3 linked regions of the Tamandua tetradactyla genome follow. The protein of the gene in region 1 purifies or fractionates together with the protein of each later gene. This does not show direct contact. Links are inferred from orthologs where the notes say so. Each region holds a gene or a part of one and is shown in the gene's direction. Other genes may lie near its edges. The genes, in order: AP3M1, AP3B2 and AP3S2.

Region 1 (7,527 bases):
AAAGGGAGGTTAGTGGTACCATTAATAGATACAGGAGTCATAGGAGAAGATGCAGGCTTAGGGCAAAAGATGAATTTAGGTATATTATCTGATTCTAAGTATCAGAAGGAGATATTCAGTAGGCATTTGAAATTAGGGTCTAAGAGCTTAGAGATAAACAGAAGGAAAGATTACATATACGAAAGTATCCAGTACAAAGCCTGGGCCCCTTAGGCCCTCTGCTTCCGTCAGACCAAACCATCTGTAGTTTCCCAACAGAGTCAACCTTCCCATTTCTGGCTCCAAACTTTCCTATAAAACCAAGCACTTTTCCCCTACTTTACACCTGGCTAAATCCTAGTCATCCTTCAGGATGCTCGGGTATCATTTTCCCAAACCCCACTCATTTCAAACCAAGAGGATAGTACCTGTGTCTCATGTCTTTCTATATATGTACCCAGTTCCTAGCACCATGCCTAAAATAGTAGGCACTTGAAGTAATGACTGAAAGGGCAGATTTGGCAGTTGTTCAACAAGTGCTGCAGGGAGCTGATCCTCTTAGAGGTGACTGCTAAAGAAATGAACTTGGATGAGATTTTCAAAGGAGAGAAAGCAAACTAAGTGGTCCTAAATATAGGTAATCATCACGGAACCTCTTCATTCAGGGAGCAGTTCCCAACAATGGCTCTCAACTTCTTTAAGTTCCAAATACTTCATCTGTAACACAGAGATAATTCCTCCCACCTCATAGGCACTGGGAGCATCAAGTAAGACAGCATATGTAAAGATTAGTATAGAAGGCAGTCCCCACATGGCAAACGTGAAATTGTACTCCAGGAGATTAAATGCATTTTAGTCATAAAAAAAAAAAGATGAGTATAATGCCTGGCATACTATAGGTATTCAATTAATGTACCCTTCTTTACCCCAATCCCAACTGAAAGCATGTTAGAGCCTGCTTCTTTCTTTCCAACTTTAACGACCGCTATACTCTGAAAGTTAACCCAGCCTAGAAAAATAATGGACATTTAAGAGAGGCTAGCCAAGAGGGATGCCTTCCCTACAGCAAAGTTACTCAACCTCAACACTACTAACATTTTTTGGCCAATGATTTTGTTACGGATAGCTGTCCTATGCACCATGGAATGTTCAGCAGCATCACTGAATCCTACCCATAAGTGTAAGTAGCACTTCCACCCCACCCCAGTTGTGACAACCAAAAATGTCTCCAGACTTTACCAAATGTCCCCCTGGGGCAAAATCTTCCCTGAGTGAGAACCACTGCCCTAGCACTAACTGAAATTTCCATAGGGCCTAAATCCTTTCCCCGACATCTAAAGAAATCTATCATAAACTTGTTTCCCCTACTAACTGATTCTACCCAGTAAATTATGCTTAGACTTTATAAGCCATTTCTCTTTAAAGAGTTAACCTGAACTGGAAGTTATTTCGGTTAAGCATGTCATCTCAGGTGATACAGTCCAACCACTCAATGCATTATCATTCTCTGGCAAACTCATAAAATTCAATGAAAGCAGGAACTGTCAATTTTTGTATCTTTGCACAAAATTAAGAGATTTGTCCCAATATTCAACAGTGTCCAATCTTTTATTTGCATCAAGTATTTAAGCTCATGTCTACAGGTGCGAAGATGATACTGTATAAAACCAATTTTAGTTGCCTAAGGATGTTTACAAATTTAAATAGACACTAATGACATACAAACTGCATCATATGTAACTATAATTATGATGTATCACAAGCAAATATATTGCAACAAAATAAAAAGTTATGTATACAAACAAAAAACAAGAGAAAGTTGAAAAACAAAAATTGTATTAACAGTTCACTAGGGTTTTTTTTTTGGTAAATTGAAGTTAATATGTAGAGTATAATAATTAAGAACAGACTTGGAACCAGAATACCTGGATTCAAATCCCAACCCCACCACCTTCTAGATAAGTGACCTTGATCAAATTACTTAATCTCTCTATGTCTGTTTTCTCATCCATAAAATGGAGACAATTATAATAGCCACCTTACAGGATTGTTGTGGGGAGCGAATGAATTACAATAGGTATATTGCTGAAGCAGTGCCTGGGCATGCATATTTAAATATTAAATATTATTGATCCTCATTATTTTTAAGGATTTATAAACAAAAATAAGCATACCTTGGGTGGTATAAAGGCAAATACAATAGAGTAAAGTATCAATGAACCTGCACCCAAATGTTCTGATTTCAGTCGTTTAACCAGTTGTTTCATTTGGGCTTCAATTTTCTCAGCTGTAAAATGCGAGAATTCTTGTCCTCGTTAACTCACAGGGCTGTACAGTGAGATAATAAGTAGAAAAGCACTTTGAAAATGGATGACCATTACATATAAAGTATTATTTTACTAAGGGGAAATCTAAGGTTTATATGTTTGATGAAATAGCAGAAAAAACCTAGTATCTGTCTTCCAATTTGGTGAGGAAAGTTTTGTGAAGGAAACACTAAAAAAGGACAGTCAGAAAAGTATATGCATGCAACTTAGGTAAGTCAGAGGGCCTTTGCTTTACCTTACAGAGCATGAAAGCTTTAGATGAAAACTAGAACATCCTGAGAAGTTAAAAAAAAAAAGTTTATTTTCTAGGCATAAGATAGGCACACTCAACCTTTGAGGGTAGTAGGAATACATTAAAAGCATTGGCAGGGATTTGATATTTTGCCACATGTTACCATGGCCACACTACCAGGCCCCTAAGTGACCTTTTCTTCAATTTTAAGTGTTCATTATTTAGAGCTGAAGAACACTGGTGTTAAAATAAATAGGATACGACTTATTTCAGGAGGGCCCCAACAGGTTTAGTTTGTCTGGTTTTAGATAGAAAAATCACTGACTTTCCACATGCTGTTCAAAATCACCAAATAATTTTGATGTAGCTTTTTATACTTATTAAGAAGGGGAATTTTTTTACCATTGTATTTTTTTATTAGAGAAGGTGTACGTTTACAGAAAATCATGCATAAAATACAGTTCCACATGCTATTCCATTATTAACACCTTGCATTAGTGTGGTGCATTTGTTGCAACTGAAGAAACAATATTTTAATAACTGTATTACTAAGACAGTGCGTGGTTTACTTCAGAGTTCAAGTATTTTCAATAACTTTTTTTAAGTAAAAGTTGCAATGCCAATCCATGCGAGGCAGCTATCAGAGACAGAACTGTGTCCACTGCTGCTAAAAAAGTGCAAAGAAAAAAGAATAATCAACCTTTCCTATCCACTCAGCCAAATGTCAGCCCCGCAATGCCCCGGCGGTGGCGTTGTGGGTCCCTGGCAGAGGATCTTCAAAGTTGCCGGCTGTTAGAGTCTGTGCGAGGAGCAAGGTCAAGGCGCCCTTCCGCGACACTTTCCTAAAAATCCCCAAGAATTCGCAAGTGGTTGTCACTGCCCCAGGGTACAGCAAGCTTAGGGCCTCCTCCCCGGCTAGTCCTCGCGGAAGAGGAGGTAGCCGGCTTGGATTCTGGTCAGGTTCTCATGGGTCGCACCGGCCCAGCTGAAGCAGGCTAGCACGTGGCGCCCGCAGCTTGCCTGCCACCGCCTCTGCCCACAGAACGGACACTCTGATTGGCCAAGGAGGCCGTGAGTCCGAACCGCTCGGGAGCGGACAGCGAATGGGCCAGACAAATTGGGCGGGTAAAGAGGTCGCGACTACGCGGGCAGCTCCTGGGCGCCGGTCCCGCGCGCTGACCCCACACGGGCAGCAGGAAAACACGCAGCGCCCGGCCCGCGCAACCCCACGTGGGCCCTGGCTTGCGGCAGCCGTCGCCACCCTCCTCCCCACGTCGGGGAGCGCTCACCTCAGCGCTCGCGGCGCCTCCACCTTCAGCTTTTTGGGCTTTGGCTCCTCCTCGGTCGCTGCCATCTTCGCCTTCCCACCCCACTTGGCTTGGCTGCGCTCCACCCGCCTCGGCGCTCTGGCCCCGCCCCTGTCACATCACTGCCTCCTTTTCTGCAAAGCACGCCCCTCTCCCCGCCTCTTCAGGGCCTCGCCCAGTCTGGGCCTCTCCCGTCCACAACCAATGGTTTTATCCGTGGTCCCCACAACCAATACCCCGCCCCTTTTTGGCCCCGCCCCGCCTGCGGGGGACCCGAGAATGAGTTAGGCCGCGGATGAGCGCCTGCGCTGGAAGGTGCGAAACCCTTATTCTTCTAGAGGCTGGGTAATCTAGAAGATTTAGATCCTCAACCTTAAGGAACGTCTTTCATCTCGTTTAACGTCTTCTGGCTTTTTTTAATCTTTCCACTACTGCAGACCGAGTCAGTGTCTATGAAGCTGTTAATCAGGCAATCTCCTGAGCACTCCAACTACGGGGTCCTCACGGCCTTCTCAGCTGTCTCAGCCTAGGTCGGGAGAGGACCCGGCACCGAATCACTGACTGGCCCAGGTACCGGGGTGAGTGTGAGGGTGGGGACGGTGGGGGCAATCTGCAGCCTGCGGACAGCTCGGAAAATGGGGAACAGGCTGAATAGCTGGGGCTCCGGACTTCACCTTGGGCGGCGGGAGCGTCTCCGGTGCTGTGGGGAGGGGCCGCGCTCCTTCCTGGCCTCCCGGGCTTTGTAGCCAGCAGGGCCGGAAGGGAGCGATGTACCTGCGGCCCAGTGGTCTCAGAACCTCGGAACTGCGGGTTCAAGCTAGTCTGTCTTCACGCCCTGGAGCGGGAGAAAAGGTCTTGTCACCAGTATTGAGCTTGAAGCAACAACAGCTCGCACCTCAGGTCCGGGCTTCCGTTTTGTAGAACGAAACCCCTGACGAAGTTGAGCGGACGTCCTGTTAGAGGGTGGTGCCGGGATGAGTCTGGGATAGGGAATACAATACTGTAAGAAGGATGTGGCAGTTCTTCAGAAGAGGTGACAGAGAGCTAAACCGATGAGGTGGGAGGGAATACAGAAAAATTATGAGAGATGTCACTGGTTGGATTTGGGTTGAATTTGAAGCTGAAGTTTCTGGCCTAGATGACCAAGGAGAAGATGCTAACTCTAAAGTTGAGAGTTCTCACTTGAAGAAGAAGGAATTTTGTGGAGATCGGATGCTGTGTTTAGTTTAGAATATATCGAGTTTGAAGCAGTAGCTTAGGTGGAGATGGTAGAATAATTTTTAAAAATAATAATAAAAGAAGCCTGGGAATTAAACCGAAAAAAAACTTTCAAGGTGAGAGCCAAAACAGGTGAAGTTTCATAAAATAGCGTAAGAGGTATTTGTTTTGTATGGGGGAATTTTGCCAGTGACTTGAAATGCGGCATAGGTCAATAGAGGAAGTCTGAGAAGAGATCATTGGATTTAATGATTAGGAAGTCATTGATTGAGAGAGATGCTGCAAGTGTTAACTAACCCTTTATCATTTGGGGCAGGAAGCAAAAGATAAACGAGAGTGGTAACATGGGGAAAATATTTGGATGTTTTGTTTTGGGTTTTTTGTTGTTGTTTTTTTAAAAAAGATTACAAAGCATTATGTTTCCAAGCAGTAAGCTAGTAATTAATGTATAAAATTAAAGGTTTAAGAAAGAGAGGTATGATCCCAGAATTGAATGAGGGTACTGGAACCAAATTTACAAGTACAAAATTAATTTAGAAAGATAGGACACTTGAAACTGAAACTGTAGGAAAAGTGAAGCATACAAAGTGAATGAGAAATTAACTGAAACTTGTATATCTTTATATATATACACTTGTTTATCTTTAATAGGAAAGTTCTCTTTACAACAAGGTTAGTTTTTCTCACTGAGTTCTATGATTTTTACATGTTTCTAAACATTCAACATAATGTACTACTGAGAAACATGGCCCTTCTCCTTAGGGAAAACAAATCCTTTCACCTAGTTACCCAATACCATTTTCTCCTTCTTGGGGTCCTCTTTCTTTCACTTATTTCCTCTCTCCTACATCACAAGCCTTCTCACACCTTCTCTTCAGCATTTAAAAATATTCTTCCTCAATTTATGAACTATTCCCACTTATTTTCCTCTCTTTTCATCCCCTTCACAGCTTGACTTCTTGAATATGTCATCTGCTCTCCCTTTATCTCTATTTTTCCCACTTCTTGCTATTTATTACTCAGCCCACTGCAATCTGTCTTTTGTTTCCAGTATTCTACCAAACTACCACTGAAACTGCTTTTACCAAGATCACCAATGTCCTTTATGTGTTAAATCTCTCAGTGAGGACAAAAATTGCTTCTTACAGGATGAAAAAAAATCTTACTTTTCTTATATTTAAAGCACAGTTTACATATAGTACATAAACAAACATACCATATTCTGTGGTATTAAAATTTCATGGATAACTTGATTATAACCCAGTGAGACCTATACTGTAAGATAATACATTTGTGTTATTTTATATAACACTATATATATATATCTTGGGAGGTGGTTTGCAATTATGGGAGATGGTTTGCAATTATGGGAGGAAGAGTCTAAAAGGCCCATCAGAAGGATGATAATGAAAATAAGGTTAAGAAAAACTTAAATGAATAGACAGTTTCAGTTCTTCTTATAGCTTGACTTCTCTGTGCTACTTTTTGTTTACAACACGGTTCTTCTGGAAACACACTAACACACTCTAGTTGGTTGTCAACTTGGCTGACCTCTCAATGTCCATCTTTGTAGTTCTTAACACCTAATATATAAAATGTATTCAAAACTACTTGTTGAGAGAGATTTCAGACCGAGTTGAAAGGTTATGCTGGAGGTTGTTCTTGGGCATTATATAGATATTCCTTTTTGGTTTGTGGTGTGTTAGAGTGACTGGGGGGAAGTACCTGAGGCTGGTATGCTGTGTTCCAGAAGCCTCAATTCTTGGAGACGATTGTATAAAGATATAACTTTTACAGTGTAACTGTGTGATTGTAAAAGCTTTGTGTCTGATGCTCCTTTTTTCCAGGGTGAGGACAGATGAGTAAAATATGGATAAAAAATAAATAGATAATAGGGATAAGGGGTAGAGTAGATTGCATAGATAGAAATGTTGGTAATCAGTGGGAGGGAGGGATGAGGGGTATGGTATGTATGAGTTTTTTCTTTTTCTTTTTGTTTCTTTTTCTGTAATGATGCAAATGTCCTAAAAAATTATCATGGTGATGAATACACAGCTATGTGATAATATTTGTGAGCCACTGATTGTACATCATATATGGAATGTATGTGTGAAGATTTGTCAATAAAAATATTTAAAACAAAACAAAAAACTACTTTTTTGAGTGAATAAATGGTCAAGTATTGCCTGAGAAACAGATGAGTTAGATTCTTTTCTGGTCTCATTCTCTCACTTTGGATATAGGTCTTTCAGTTTCTCCATTCTATTACACATAGAGGGAATACATTTATTCTTTTTCAGTCACTGTCTAGCAGCTATATTTTGACTATTGTAACTGCATTACTGCTGAGTCAGCAGAATGTGTGTGTTCAGCATTTGGTAAAGAGCATTTATGAAGTTTTTAAGCTGGAAAATTCAGATGGGCCTGCCTCTGAACAGTTTCTCTACAGTTTTAAAAATAAGCT
Region 2 (7,829 bases), on another chromosome or scaffold:
CCCGGAAGAGTCAGGGCAGGGTCCAGGCCTTCCACCTGGGTGACACCCTGAGTCCTCCAGGGCAGGGGCCACAGGAGGTGGCCAGCTCTGAGGCCCATTGTTCTTGTCCCCTGAGCTGAGAAAGGCGCTCCCTCCCCCACTTACCCCTCCCCCCTTCCCCGCCCTCCCTCTGTCCAGCCCACAGAGGGCTCCCAGTGCCTCCCAGCGCTCCTGGACCCAGCCTGCAGGCTTACTGTCCCCAGTTCACACCTGAGGAGGTTGAGGCCCACCTTGGGTCCGCACAGAGGGGAGGGCCAGCCACAGCTGCGCTGCCCAGGCCCGGGCCCAGCGTCCCAGATGGACACATCGACTCCACAGTCATGGCCCCACAGGGTTGGGGGGATGGGAGTGGTCTCACCTCCTCCCTGGCCTGGTGGTGACAGCAGGTTTTTTCCTTCCTAGATGAGCTGCACATCCCAGGTAACTGGAGCAGAGGTCCTCACCTCATCTCTTCTCCCCAGCAAGGGCCGGGCCTCCCCCCACAGCTGTCACCTCTCTTGGCCCAGTGGGGGTGGGGAAGGGGAGGCAGCGGCCTGGTGCCTGCCCTGCTTGGGGCATCGCAGGAGGCCAGGGCTGAGGGCCACTCGTGCCTTTGGGTCTCCGTGCTGTCTCCTGAGGTTGAGAGGGATTGGGGGGCGGGCGGTTAACTGAACCAAGGGTGACCCACCATCCGGGTCTTCCTGGTTCCTGAGATGCTGGACTTTTAAGACCTGGAAGCTCCCACACCAACTAGGAGGAGCTGAGGACACTACCCACTGGGCCAAAGCTCGCAGTCAGGGAAATGAGACTCACCCAGTGATGAGCAGTGGGGACCGGGAGGGGAAGGAAAGGAGGGTCAGGGACAGGAGAGGACAGTGAGCCAGTGCTGCCTGGAAGAAAGAGTCCTGCCTGAAAATAAACGGCAGCGGCCGGCAGCGGCCCTGTGTGTCCAGGCCTCTGAGGCCCCTGCCACTCAGCCTGACCGTTTGGGGGATCAGACACAGCCGGCCGCTCCCCCAGGATCCCCTGGGCGCTGAGGCCCCTGCAGTGCACCCCAAGTCACCCTCGAGCTGCTTCCCAAGAGGGGGAAGCAGAGGGAGGGGGCGACCCATGACGAGCCTCACCTCGGTGGGCCACGGGGCCAGCTGGGCTTGGGCTAAGTGCTCTGGACACCCACAAGGGCCAGAATGTCACGTGACCCACCTGGGCTGGCCTTGGTGCCACCACCCAGTGGGAGGCTGTCTCCCTTTTCTTCATAAGGAAACAGGTGGAGAGACATTCAGTGACCTCCTTTGTCCTTTGGCCTCGTGGCCAACGGGACAGACAGCCTAGGGGGGAAGGCCAGGCCCTTAGCTATATGGCAGAGCAAAGGGAGGTGCAGGGTTTGGGAATACCAGGCACTCGCAGCTTCTCTGTTGCTGCCTCGGTTCTGATGCTCCATTGCCCGGGTGCCCAGAGCAAGGGGCTGAGCCTTGACTCATCTCCCCTCCCAGTCCGGATGCGGGAGACACCTCCTCCCCAGACCAGGCAGACCAGGGGCTGGGGCGCAGTGGCACTTAGTGCCCTTGACCTCAAACTGGGTCCTCACAGGGCTCTCCTTTGACAGTGTACCCTAGGTTTCCTCTGCATTTTAACCTGCAGGGGCGGGGGCACTTCACCTGCCTAAGTGTGCTCCTGCTTTCTTGGGGGGTCAGTCCCCCTCACCTGGACTGCTGGGCACAGCTGTGGTGGCACCAGTCTGGGGAGCCAGGGGGGCTGCAATCCAGCCCACACTCAACTGGTCACAGCAATGCCCTAGCGGGACTGAACAGGTCTAGATAAGGGGCATTAAAAACGCCAGGAAGACGCCGTGTGGCTCTAGGCAGCGGGCGCCTCTCCCACATGTGGGTCCTTTCCCACCTGAACCCCAGCAGCAGCAGTCAGCACCCCTCAGAGATGCCGGGCCCCGGGCTTGGTGGGCCACATCCTCCTCCCAGCTCCGCCTGCTGGTGAGCCCAGTGCCCGGCAGGTGGGGGATGGGTGAGCCCCCCAAGTTCTAACAGCCCCTCATTCCTAATCAAGACAGGAGAAAGCTGCATTAAGCGTATTTCTCACTTCCTTATAGAGAAGAGAAGGCAACTGACGGGGAGAGAGAACATGGAACCCAGAGTCACGCAGGCAGATGCTAGCTGTGGGAGCCCCAGGGAGTTCACCTCCGTGAACTTCAAGTTTCCTTATCTTGAAAATGGGCTTACTGTCCCCAGCTGGTAGGATTGTATTAAGGATCAAACGGGCGGCCACTCAGTGGCTGCTGAGGTTGCTGGGGGTCTTTCTCTGCCCTGGCTTTGGAGGAGATGCCTATGCAGACTCAGATCTCACCCAGCTTTCTGTTTCTTCAGGTGTTGTGTTCCACTGAGGTAAGCGCTGAGACCCAGACCTCACTCACAGGTGGGAGGTAGCTGGGGGAAGGGACCCTGGAGCAGGGGGACAGAACAGAGAGGCTGGAATGAGGAGACCACAGTGGGTCGGGAGGGGGGCGTCCAACTGCTGGAAACAGAGGGCTTCTCAGAGGTGGCTCAGGGCAGGACTTAGCCACCACACCCAGCGGCCTGGAGTCCCTAAGTCCAGCGAGGCTGGTGCCGTGCAGGAAACGCATTCCCATATGGGCCCAGCCCCCAGCCGGTTCTCCCTGTGCCCCGGGCGGGCCACCTGACCCCACGGTCGGTGGAACGGCCGCGTGTCTCCTGCACTGGCCGTGAGTCCCCTGTCCCCCAGGCGCTGACTGGGGCGGTCGCCACCATGAAGTTCTTCCTCGCCGAGGCTATCCTGGGCCAGCACTTTGAGGCCGTGGAGCTGGGAGGCGGGGAGCCCGAGCCCGGCGACCTCTTCCTGTTCAGAATCGCGTCCCCCAAGGGCCGCTGGTGCGGGGCCCACGTGGGCGTGTACTGCGGCCACGGCGAGATCATCCACTTCGAGGGTGAGCGCCTCGGGCTGAACCCCGGGCCCGGGCCGGCGGTGAGGGGCTGTCACGTGCCACCCGCGGGCGGGCCACATGGGGACGGGGGCTGCGGGTCTCTAAAGATGGGGCCAGAGCACGCAGGGCACCGGACTCAGGACTTCGGGGCCCCGGGACACGGGGTGCATGGTCACGGGGACGCGAGCTGGGAAGTCCGACGTGTGGGGCGCTGAGATTTAAAGCTGGCTGCGATTTGCACCCCGCAGGCAGGCACCCCGGAGGTCGGGACCCGCACAAGTTGCTGGGCTCCTGGGAAGGCGTCGTGTGCAAGCAGGGTGAGCGGCCACTCCTGCGCTCCCGCTCACTCTGGCGCGTGCTGCGTAGACGCGGCGGCGTGGACCGCGCTGCGCTGCAGAGACGCGTGCGCGAGGCCATGGACTCGGACCCGCCTCCCTACCACCCCACGCGCAGCAACTGCGTGCACTTCGCGCTGCACTTGCTCGGCCACGACCCCAGCCTGGCCCCTCTGTGGGCGGGCCGGAGCCCCAGCGGCTCGGTGAGCTGGGCCCCACTGACCACGCGGCCCCACTCCGGAGCCGGCTCACAAACGCGGAAACCCAACGCGCCCCGGCAAAATCCCCCCGCAGCCCGCAGGCCAGGTTCCTCCAAACTCAGGATCCGCTTTGGGGTCTGGCCCAAGGCCTCAGAACCAAGCCAGGCCAGCACTCGCCGAGGTTGCCCCCCTCCGAAAGCCTCGAGGGTCCGCTCCACAGCGGCGCCTCCGGCCCACAGGTCCCCTCCACACCTATATCCTAAAACTGAAGTTCAGAGGTCAGTGCCCAAGCCCAGGCCCGGCACCCCATCCAGGCGCACTAGCATTCCCCGGGAGCGCCTGCCCCGTCCAACGTGGCCACTGCCTCCCAGCCGACGGGTCCAACACGTAATCCTAGTGTGCAGCCCAGCCTCGGCCCTGGTGGTCGCACCAGACCTAACTAGCGCCCTTCCCTTCCCTTCCTTCCAGGTGTTGGTGGACGTGACTCTGGATTAGACGGAGACCGTGGGCCGCCAGGGTGGGCTTGGGGGCTTCAGAAAGAGTCAATAAACTGCTCCCCAAAGCAGGACTCGGGCTCACCGTCTTCTCTCCGCTCCCCTTCTCTCTGCCCTCCATGGGCTCAAATTCCACCAACTCCAGGAAGCCTCGGGGGCGCAGTCAGGGGGTCCTAGCATCAGAGGAATGTGGGGTGGGAAGAAGGAGCGGGCTTAGGTGCCTGAGGCTGGCTCGGGTGCGGCGCCCCCCCCCGCAGCCCGCAGGCCCAGCCTACGCCTCAGTCCGCCCTTTTCCATCCCCAGCGCGGGGTGGGGGGCGGGAGGCGAGCGCAGGCAGCTGCGCCCGGAGGAGCCCCCTCGGAACGCCCACCCGGGCCTCCACCCGCCCGGGCCCAGGAGGAGCGTCATCCCTTTAAGAGGCGGCGGAGGGGCCCTCCCGGGACCGCGCTTCCTCGGGCCGCGGGCTGCGCGCCCGCCCCGCCCCGCCGCGCCGGCGCCCTGCGCGCCCCGAGGCCCCGCGCCGCCCCCGGCCCGGCCCGCGCAGCCCGAGGCGCCTCTGCCGAGCCCGCGCCGCTGACCGCCTCGCCCGGCCCGGCCCGGCCCGCGTCTCTCCCCGGCCGCGCAGCCTCGCCCCGGCGGAGCCGGTCCCCGCATCCATGTCGGCCGCGCCCGCCTACAGCGAAGACAAGGGCGGCTCCGCTGGCCCCGGCGAGCCCGAGTACGGCCACGACCCGGCGAGCGGCGGCATCTTCTCCTCCGACTATAAGCGGTGAGGGGGCCCCGGGGGACGAGGCCGGCGCTGCCCACCCGGGCCTGGGCCCGGCCGGCGCTTCCGCTCCGGCACCATGGACAGCGCCCGCGGCCCGCCCGCCGCCCCAACCCGGCCCGACCCGGCGAGGAAACCCGCGCCCCACGGGAGACCCGCGCCCCACGGGAGACCCGCCCCCCGATGCCGGCATCCCTGCCCGGAGGGGCCGACCTGGAGTCCGGGAGATGGGGGGTGCACGGAGGCTGGGGGCGGTCTGGGGTGGGTGCCTCTGGGAGGAGCACCCCTCTCCCCCAGGGCTTCCTCTTTGTGTGGGGTTGGAGTACAGGTTCCCGGGCCCGTGGGCTCTGCAGGAACGTGGGGGGGGGATCAGCGCGCGCGAGCTGGCCGGGGGGTCGGGGGAGGGGGGGGCACCCTGGACCCGGAGCTCGCCACCCGCCCTCCTCCTCCTCCACGCGCGCCCGCACGTCGCCCCTCTAGGCCGACCGTCCTTGGCCCCGGCCTCAGACCCCCACCCTGACCCCGCCCCCGCCCCGGACTCTCCTTCTTCCTCATTTCTGAACCAAACATTTTCTAAGGGTGGCCGGAGCCCCTCGCTGGGCACCCTCAGCCGCGAGCGTGGCCAGCCTCAGCCCTACGCCTCTCTAGGGGGACGCACAACAGGAAGCCATGATAACTGTGTGGTGGGGACACCGAGCGTCCAGGGGGGCTGGGCCTGGTGCTGGTCAGCGGGGTGGGGGTGGGGGAGGGGGGGTGGGGAACATTCAGGCAGGAGGGGCTCTGCCCGCGGGTGGGCCGGGTTCGGTGGGCCCAAGGGCTGTAAGATCACAGCCACCGCACTCCCTGGAGGGTGGGGCGGAGGGGCAGGTTGCTGGGGGGGGGGGCGGGGAACTCGGGGTTGGGGGGGCGGCTTCCAGCAGTTTGAAGGTGCTGGCATCGGATCCGCTTTTTAGAAGGCTCCCAAGAGGACGGTGGACACCGCGGGGAGGTGACGTGGGACACGCAGGGTGCCCGACTAGGGCATGGGTGACGAAAGGAGGCTGTGAGGCGGTAGGAGCCACAGGCCTGACTGGCTGGACTGGGCGTGCCCTGTTCCCGCCCTCCCCCGCCCCCAGGGGGCCTTGCCTCTGAGCCGAGCCCTGGAAACCAGAGCTCCCCCTCGCCGTGTCCGGTGTCTGAGTCGCTGGGGCCGGCCTTTGGTGCCTGCCGCGGGTCAGCTCAGCCCCGGTCAGCTCAGCCCCAGTCCTGGGCAGAAGCTGTGGCCCCATGCAGCGCTTCCTGCAGCTCCCCGGGACCCAGGGCTCCCGTGGGGCCGACCAGGAGGCCACCAGCCCCGTGCTGGCCCCTGAAGGGGGAACTCCGCCCTGGTACCAGGCCCTGCAGCCGGAGGAGCTGCGGTGTCTGAAGGCCCCGGAGGAAGACACAACCCCAGAGGCACCCCAGGAAGGTCCCTGCCCAGAGTTTGGCCAGGGCCTGAGCCAGCCGCTGCGGTACGGGGGACCCCCAGGGCGCCCACCCCGACGGCTGGGGAGGCAGTGATGGGCAGCTGCCACCCTCAGCTTGGACTTCTTCAAGTGCACCCCCTCGGGTGGAGGAGGGCTGGGCTGGCAATTAGGGCCCAGGCTGGGGCTCGGGGAGGGGAGGGCACAGGGCACGGAGGGGGGGGCAAGTGTGCATGGGGCTCACGGATTTGGGGCTCTGGGGCAGGTGGGGGTGAGGCACGTGGCTCCCTGGAGGCTCTGGGGAGGAGGATGGGAAGGTGTCTGAGGACTGAGGTCCCACCTTGATCCTTCCCTGGCCCCAGCCCTGGACGGGGGTGGGGGAGCACGGAGGGCAGGATAAAGCACAGAGGGTTCGGCCAGCTCTTCCCGTGAGTGGGCTGGAACATGGGTGCTGAGGGGACAGAGGGCGATGCAGCCCAGGGATGCCGAGCGGGCTGGCCTCAGTCATGCTGAGCCCCTGGCTGGCTCCAGCGGCCCCCCGGGCAGGTCCTTCCGCTGGGCCAGGGCAGGTCACAGTGCTATATAAGGGATCTGACTGGGAGTTTAATGTTTCATGGCCTTCGGGTGTTGCTAGGCAGCTCTCCCTTCCTCTTCCTCTTCCTCTCAAGACTCTGAGCTGTTGGGGTCCAGGATGGGGGACCTGTGGCCCACCCAGGAGGGTGCTGCTGTCTGAGTTCGTGGGCTAAGGAGTGTCTCAGTCGGACAGTCCCTCCTGGCCATGCTCTGTCACCTTTAGCCAGCGGTCGTCCTCTCCCTCCATCCTCCTGTGCTTGGGCTGGAGCCTCGTGCCTGGAATGGGACCCCAGTGCCTGCCAGGGTGTGTGCGTTTTGACAGCAGCCTGTGGCATTTGTGGGTGTGGTGACGCTATCTGGGCATAAGGCCGTGTGCTTAAGAACCACCCAGAACTAAAGCAACTGGAAAACCAGCCACTCCCCACGAAGCACTGTGAAAAGCCACGGCGGTGACACAAGAGGGCACGGGGCCTTGTGGGGACGGCCAGCTGACCCTCAGGGGCCCTGAGGCTGCCTGGGTTTGAGCTGAGAAGCCTGAGTCTGTCGTAGAGAAGTTCAAATAGGAGGCCACTGGCCCTTAGCTGAGTGAGAGTGGAGTGCCCAGGTGTGTCAAAAAGGTGTCTGTGTGGTGGTGTGTGTGGTGTGACTGTGCTGTATTTGTCAAGGAGATGTGTTGGGGTGGGGTGTCTGAGGATGTGTGAGAGTGTGTGCATGTGTGTCTAGGTGTGTCTGTAGGGTGTGTGCGTCTATAGTGTATGGCTGTAGGTGTGTGTCTGCAAGGGGTGTGTGGCTGTAGGATGTGTGTGTCTGTAGGGTGTGTGTGGCTATAAGGTGAGTGTGTCTGATGCTTGTAGCTGTGGCTGTAGGGTGTGTGTTTCTGTAGGGTATATGGCTGTAGGGTGTGTGTGGCTGTAGGTGTGTGTGGCTGTAGGGTGTGTGTGGCTGTAGGGGTGTGGCTGTAAGGTGTGTGGCTGTAGGGGGTGTGGCTGTAGGGGGTGTGTGGCTGTAGGGTGTGGCTGCAGGGGCTGCATGTCTGTAGGGTAAGGGT
Region 3 (7,421 bases), on another chromosome or scaffold:
TGTGGTTTTGATTTGCATTTCTCTAATGGCCAGGGACATTGAGCATCTCTTCATGTGCCTTTTGGCCATTTGTATTTCCTCTTCTGAGAGGTGTCTGTTCAAGTCTTTTTTTCATTTTGTAATTGGGTTGGCTGTCTTTTTGTTGTTGAGTTGAACAATCTCTTTATAAATTCTGGATACTAGACCTTTATCTGATATGTCATTTCCAAATATTGTCTCCCATTGTGTAGGCTGTCTTTCTACTTTCTTGATGAAGTTCTTTGATGCACAAAAGTGTTTAATTTTGAGGAGCTCCCATTTATTTATTTCCTTCTTTAGTGCTCTTGCTTTAGGTTTAAGGTCCATAAAACCGCCTCCAATTGTAAGTTTCATAAGATATCTCCCTACATTTTCCTCTAACTGTTTTATGGTCTTAGACCTAATGTTTAGATCTTCGATCCATTTTGAGTTAACTTTTGTGTAAGGTGTGAGATATGGGTCTTCTTTCATTCTTTTGCATATGGATATCCAGTTCTCTAGGCACCATTTATTGAAGAGACTGTTCTGTCCCAGGTGAGTTGGCTTGACTGCCTTATCAAAGATCAAATGTCCATAGATGAGAGGGTCTATATCTGAGCACTCTATTCGATTCCATTGGTCGATACATCTATCTTTATGCCAATACCATGCTGTTTTGACCACTGTGGCTTCATAATATGCCTTAAAGTCCGGCAGCGTGAGACCTCCAGCTTGGTTTTTTTTCCTCAAGATACTTTTAGCAATTCGGGGCACCCTGCCCTTCCAGATAAATTTGCTTATTGGTTTTTCTATTTCTGAAAAATAAGTTGTTGGGATTTTGATTGGTATTGCATTGAATCTGTAAATCAATTTAGGTAGGATTGACATCTTAACTATATTTAGTCTTCCAATCCATGAACACGGTATGCCCTTCCACCTATTTAGGTCTTCTGTGATAGAAAAGCATTTTTTAAAAATGATGTTTGAAAAGGCAAATATGTCAGTTTGCCTTTTCACCCATTACTAGGGTGCTTAAACTATTTTCATGGTTTTTTTTTCCTAGATGTATTTCCTCTTGTTACTCAGTTCCTTTAGCTATCTATCAGAGGTCTTATCTTTTTTGTTTGTCTGGCTTATTGATATTTTAAAGATAACTATTTACCATATTTTAACAACTGTATTCCATTTAAAAAATTGTTTATAAACATAAAATCTTTATATAGATATATCTGCTGGCCCATTTTGGTTATTATCTGGTTTTACACTTAACTCTTTAATCATCCATCCTGCCTTTGTGTGAAGGTAAAAAGTGAGGTACCTAAATTTCTTACTTTCAAATTGCTAACGAGTTATCTCAACAGCATTTACTGAATCCTTCCACTGTCAAGTCATGATGTCTTTCCTCCATCACATGTTAAAGCTATTTTATACTTAAATTACCCATTATAGTTCAATAAATCTCCTTATCATTATAATTCGAATGATCATAGTAGGTTTTAATAGTTGCTAGGGCTAGTTCCCCCTTATTTTTCTGTTTTTGATATTCGTCCTCAATATTTGAAACATTGCATCAAGTTTTAGGTCAAATTATTTTTTATTAAAATAATAAGCTGAAAAAGAGACTAGATTTCAATTCCAGATAAAATGAAGTTGATCTGGTTGGGACAAGGATACATCAGAATACAGGGTAAAGGATGATACTGTCTGTATTTTAGAACTTCACGTACTGTATGAGACCAAAGGAAAAGATGTTCATTCTGTCCGAAACTTTAATTTTTTGTAGCGCACAATCTAACTTACCCCATCTGGTCAGTTCATTTAAACAGCCTAAGCACATGGAGCCTAGAATTGTGATGAGAGCTTCTCAGTCTGTATAGCTGTAATTCTGTATAGCTTAATGTAATATCTTGATACATTCCAGAGTATTTTGGGAAGATCAGTAAAACATATTGGCAAAGTCTCTTGAGGGTCAGGAGGTAAAATATGGAACAGTTAAACCTCCTCACCTGGGAAAACCCTGCTACTCTCAGACATTTCGGATTCCCACATTAATAAGGCAAGCCCTTGATCTTGAGGTTTGCTCTTATGAAACTTGTTTCTGTAATGGGGAAGCTAAGCCTACCTACAATTTCGCCTAAGAGTCACTTCCAGAGAGACCCTCTTTTGTTGCTCAGATGTGGCCTCTCTATCTTTAAGCCCAGCTCTGCTAGGAAACCCGTTACCCTCCCCGCTACATGAGACGTGAGTTCCAGGGATGCGCCTAGCCCTGGCTCCGTGGGATCCACAATGTCTGCCTGACCAAAAGGGGGAAAATAAATGGAACAAAATAAGGAATCAGTGGCTAAGATATTTCAAATAGAGTCGAAGGCTATTCTGTAAGTTACTCTTAAGCAAGCTTCAGCAAGATGATGCTAATTGCCACAGTATGCCAAGCCCCATACTGCTGGTATTCCTGAATGCCCAGGGCTCTATCTAAGGCTCTATAAAAGTTTCACTCGCAAAATTTATTTTTCAGAAACTTAAAACTTCCAGATGGTTTCTATGCTAGATAAGTCGTGAAACCCGGAGGCACCAGTCCCTCCAAGAACATCAACTAGTTGCATGCCCCTACCCCATTAGGTTGACACCCCTTTTTGACATGAAGAAGCTAGAATGGTCATTGCCCAAATACCCCTGAAGATTGGGAAAGGAATCAAATGAGAGGGAGGAGGTGTGCCAGAGAAGATAAGATTTCTTTCTTGTTAGTCTCTAGTATATTAGAACAGCTTAGAAATACCTGAATTGTGGAAATGTAACCGATACCATATTTTGATATTTGCTCTATAACTGCTTGTTAAGCTATAATTTGAGATTTGTTACTTTTCTGCATCTGTTGTTTCACAATAAAAAAAAGTTTAAAAAAGTAAAAAAAAAAATTAAAATTATGTGACTAGAAGAGCAATTCCTATTTATTTTAGAAAATAAAAAAAGAAAATCTATGATCCTACAACCCAAAGATATTTTAAGTCACTTATATAGCACTCAATTATGTGTCATACAGCTGCTCCAAGTGCTTACAAATATCAACTCCTTCTGTGCTTATAACAACTGTCTGAGCTAAGCAGAGTCATTTTCATAGTTTTACAGTTAGGGAGACTGATATTACACCTATTTTACAGGTGAAAAAACTGGCCCAAGACCCCCAGGCTGTCAACAAAGCCAGGATTTGAATCCAGGCAGTGTGGTTCCAGCAGCCTGTGCAGAATACTCTATAAAACTTCTATCCCATCAGATACAAAGTATTACTTTTATTTTGGTGTATCTACTTCCAATCTTTATATATATAATTTACAAAGTGGGATATCCCTATAAAATCTTTGTGCAATCTTTTCATTTACAGATGTACCATGAACATTTCCCTGTATTTCTAATATGCATGGGGAACTATGCATTAACCATTTACTTATTTTGGAATAATTAGCTTCCCATTTTTCCCTGCAATAACACAGCCAAGTTATATATTCTTGAGGCTAAATCATTTTTTGCCCCACTTATTTTATTATAAATTCTAGAACTGGAAATTCGGGGTCTAACATATACAATTTAAAGACTGCCGATACAGACTGCCAAACTGTTCTCTGGATAGGTGATTTCAATTTGCAGCTTTATCCGAAATAAACGGTCCTTGCTCATTTCTCTACGCCTCCTCCCCTAGGTATGAAAAGAAAAAACAAAACAAAATGTACTAATCTGGGATCTCCAGTGCCTTTTTACTGGAATAGCACTGAATTCATTCCACTATTCACTGTCTACCATGGAGAAACATCAGCCTGCTGCGAGAAGAGACAGCTACATAGTTCGCCCCATCGTCTGTAGCGCCGAAAAATAAAAACGGCCTAAATATTTCGCGTCAGGAAATGGCTAAATTAAGCGGCCCGTCCACCGCGGAGCGCTAGCGGGAGGCTGGCCGGGACAGAGGAAGTTCTCGCCGCGCTTCGGAGTTTCTACCTCGGGATCCGCCTTTCCGACGGCCTGGGACTCGCGGGCGAGCGGCGGGCCTGGACGACCGGCACGGGCCCGGGTTCGCGTCCCGGCGGGGGCCGAGGGGCCCAACCCCGCCTCTGCCCGCGCACCTGCCCGCCTCGGAGCGGCGTCCAGCGCGCGCGGAGAGCCCGGCCACTCAGGTCCCCGGCCCCTGGGCGCCGGGAGCCGGTTTCCGCCAGCTGCTCTCGGCCGCGCACCGAACGGAAGTGGCCGTGAGCACCGGCCGGAAGTGGCCGTGCGCGGCGGAAGGAGCTGCTCTGAGGGTAGCGGGTGTTGAAGGTGGCGCGGCCGGGGAAGATGATTCAGGCGGTTCTGGTGTTCAACAACCACGGGAAGCCGCGGCTGGTCCGGTTCTACCAGCGTTTCGTGAGTGCGGGCGGGTTTTGCCACGCTCCTCTAGGGCCTCCGGTCCCTCTTCTTCCGCCCCGGGCCCATCCGGCTGCAGCGCCCCCGCCGACCGCCTCGGGCTCCTGCCCGGAGCGGGACCCTCAGCCCCTCTTCGCCTCCTACCCCGCGTGGGGCAGAGGCAGGCCTTGGTGTTGGGCCCAGCCCCGCAGCCCCCCAGCCCCGCAGCCCCGCAGCCCCGCGCGCCTCCTGCCCCCCGCCTGTGCTCCTGCTCGGCTGTGCCATTTCGTGTCTCTTCCCACTGGGTCTCCCTGCAGCAGGTGTAAACGCCTTGGGTGCGGGCGGCGGGCCTCGGTGGGGGTTTGAATGGCCAAGCGCTTTAATCTTGTTTGTTGGGTACCCAGTTTTACAAGAAGGAAACAGCGTTCCACCGCTTAGCGTTTTTACTGTGGACATACGGTCTGGAAAGTTCTTTTTCGGGATTCTTTTGTTTCAGTGTTGGGACTGCCCTGGAGTCCAGATACGCTTCAACCTCCTTGGTTCACCCATCTCTAGCTTCTATGTTTCTCTAAGTTCCCTATTTTCTGTATTATAAGCCTCTGATTATACCTTTATGCTGGTTGTAGAAGTGGACTCATACAGTATCTGTCCTTTTGTGTCTGGCTAACTTCACTCAGCATTAAGTCCTCAAGGCTCATCCATCTTGTCATGTGCTTCAGGATGCCATTTTGCCTTATTGCTGCATAATATTCCATCATATGTCTGTACCACATTTTGTTGATCCACTCGTCTGTTGATGAGCATTTGGTTTGTTTCCATCTTTTGGTGATTGTGAAAATGCTGCTATGAACATTGGTATGCAAATGTCTGTTTGTGTCATTGCTTTCAGCTCTTCTGGGTATATACCAAGTAGTGCTATTGCTGGGTCATAGGGCAACTCCATATTTAGTTTCCTAAGGAGAGAAGTTACCAAACAGTCTTCCATAGAGGCTGCGCCATTATACATTCCCACCAGCAGCCCCTGAGTGTCCCACCACTGTGGCTTTATAATAGGTTTTAAAGTCAGGGAGTGTTTATCTGCTCACTTCATTTTTCTTTTTAGAATGCATTTAGCTGTTTGGGGTCTCTTTCCCTAACAGATGAATTTGGTAGTTAGCTTTTTCAAATCTTCAAGTAGGTTGTTGGAATTTTGATTGGTACTGTGTTGAATCTGTAGATCAGTTTGGGAAGAATTGACATCTTAACTATAGTTAGCCTTCCTGTCCATGAGCAAGGAATGTCTTTCCACCTATTTTGATCACCTTTGATTTCTTTTAGCAATGTTACATAGTTTTCTGTGTACCAGTCCTTTATGTCCCTAGTTAAGTTCATTCCTAAGCTTTGATTCTTTTAGTTGCTATTTTGAATGGAATTTTTTCCTTAACTAATTCCTCAGCTTGCTCATTGCTTGTGTATAGAAAAAAAGTTACTGATTTTTGCACATTAATTTTATATCCTGCCACCTTGTTGAATTTGTTTATTAGCTCAAGTAACTTTGCTGTAGATTTCTCGGGATCTTCCAAGTGTAGTATCATACCATTTGCAAATAATTAGAGTTTTACTTCTTCCTTTCCAATTTGGATGCCTTTATTTCTTTGTCCTGCCTGATTGCTATAGCTAGAACTTTGACCACAATGTTGAATAATAGTGGTGACAGTGGGCATCCTTGTCTTACCTGAGGGAAGGTTTTCAGTCTCTCTCCATTGAGTACGATGCTGGCTATGGGTTTTTCCTATATTTCCTTTATCATATTGACGTAGTTACCTTTGATTCCTCTCTTTTGGAGTGCTTTTATCAGAAAAGGATGCTGAGTTTTGTTGAATGCTTTTTCAGTAACAGTCGAGACGATCATGTGATTTTTTTCCCTTTTGACTTGTTAATATACTGTTACAAAAAAAAAATATATATATATATATATATATACTGTGTTACATTAATTGATTTTCTTGTGTTGAAACATCCTTGCATTCCTGGTATAAACCCCTCCTGGTCATGGTGTATAATTCTTTTAATGTGCTGTTGGGTTAGATTTGCTAATATTTTATTAAGGATTTTTGCATCTATGTTCATTAGGGTGATTGGCCTGTAGTTTTCCTTTCTTATAGCATCTTACCCGGTTTTGGTATTAAAATATTAGCTTCATAAAATGAGTTAGGTAGAGTTCCTTTTTCCTCAATTTTTTTGAAAAATTTGAGCAGAATTGGTCTTAGTTCTTTCTGGAATGTTTGATAAAGTTCCCTGGTGAAACCATCTGGCCCTGAGCTTTTCTGTGTAGGAAAATTTTTGGACTGATTGAATCTCTTAATTTGTGATTGATTTGTTGAGATCTTCTATTTCTTCCTGAGTCAGTGTAGCTTGTTTTGTGTGTCTCCAGGAATTTGTCCTTTTCATCTAAGTTGTCTAGTTTGTTGGCTTGTATCGTACTATCCTCTTATGATTTCTTCAAGGTTTGTGGTAACGCACCCCTTCTCATTTCTAATTTTGTTTATTTGCATCATCTCTCATTTTTCTTTGTCAGTCTTGCTAGTGGCCCATCAATTTTATTGATTTCTCAAAGAACCAACTTTTGGTTTTATTGATTCTTTCTATTGTTCTTTTGTTCTCCCATTCATTTATTTCGGCTTTAATCTTTGCTATTCTCTTCTCCTATTTGTTTTGGTGTTAGTTTGCTGTTCTTTCTCAAGTTCCTCCAGGTTTGCTGTTAAGTCCTCAATTTTTGCTCTTTCTTGTTTTTTGGTATAGGCATTTAAGGCAAAAATTTCACTCTCAGCCCAGCCTTTGCCACATCCCATAAGTTCTGAAAAGTTGTGTTCTCATTTTCATTCATCTCCAAATAGCTACTGGTTTCTCTAGCAATTTCTTCATTGACCCACTGGTTGTTTAAGAGTATATTGTTTATTCTCCATATACTTGTGAATGTTCTTATTCTTTGGTGGTTATTGAGATCCAGCGTCATCCCATTTGATCAGAGAAAGTACTTTGAATAATTTCAATATTTTTAAATTTATAAAAACCTG

Evidence for each region.
Region 2: the proteins of AP3M1 (region 1) and AP3B2 purify together in Homo sapiens (co-immunoprecipitation; 3 studies listed by BioGRID and IntAct, counting the BioPlex papers as one, with this or other methods). This does not show direct contact. The link is inferred for Tamandua tetradactyla from reciprocal best matches to the Homo sapiens genes AP3M1 and AP3B2.
Region 3: the proteins of AP3M1 (region 1) and AP3S2 purify together in Homo sapiens (co-immunoprecipitation; 3 studies listed by BioGRID and IntAct, counting the BioPlex papers as one, with this or other methods). This does not show direct contact. The link is inferred for Tamandua tetradactyla from reciprocal best matches to the Homo sapiens genes AP3M1 and AP3S2.

Annotation. Positions count from the first base shown.
Region 1 is NC_135339.1:22,542,705-22,550,231, forward strand, and holds the start of AP3M1 (AP-3 complex subunit mu-1), read left to right. Parts: upstream 1-4,029; 5' UTR 4,030-4,160; intron 4,161-4,282; 5' UTR 4,283-4,415; exon of another isoform or gene 4,416-4,423; intron 4,424-7,527. Other genes in the region: ADK (adenosine kinase), read right to left, coding at 3,828-3,892. UniProt on the Homo sapiens protein: Part of the AP-3 complex, an adaptor-related complex which is not clathrin-associated. The complex is associated with the Golgi region as well as more peripheral structures.
Region 2 is NC_135338.1:99,773,527-99,781,355, reverse strand, and holds the start of AP3B2 (AP-3 complex subunit beta-2), read left to right. Parts: upstream 1-4,656; coding exon 4,657-4,769; intron 4,770-7,829. Other genes in the region: uncharacterized protein LOC143652592, read left to right, coding at 442-459, 2,397-2,414, 2,773-2,974, 3,220-3,509, 3,975-4,001.
Region 3 is NC_135338.1:97,928,513-97,935,933, reverse strand, and holds the start of AP3S2 (AP-3 complex subunit sigma-2), read left to right. Parts: upstream 1-4,218; 5' UTR 4,219-4,317; coding exon 4,318-4,386; intron 4,387-7,421. UniProt on the Homo sapiens protein: Part of the AP-3 complex, an adaptor-related complex which is not clathrin-associated. The complex is associated with the Golgi region as well as more peripheral structures.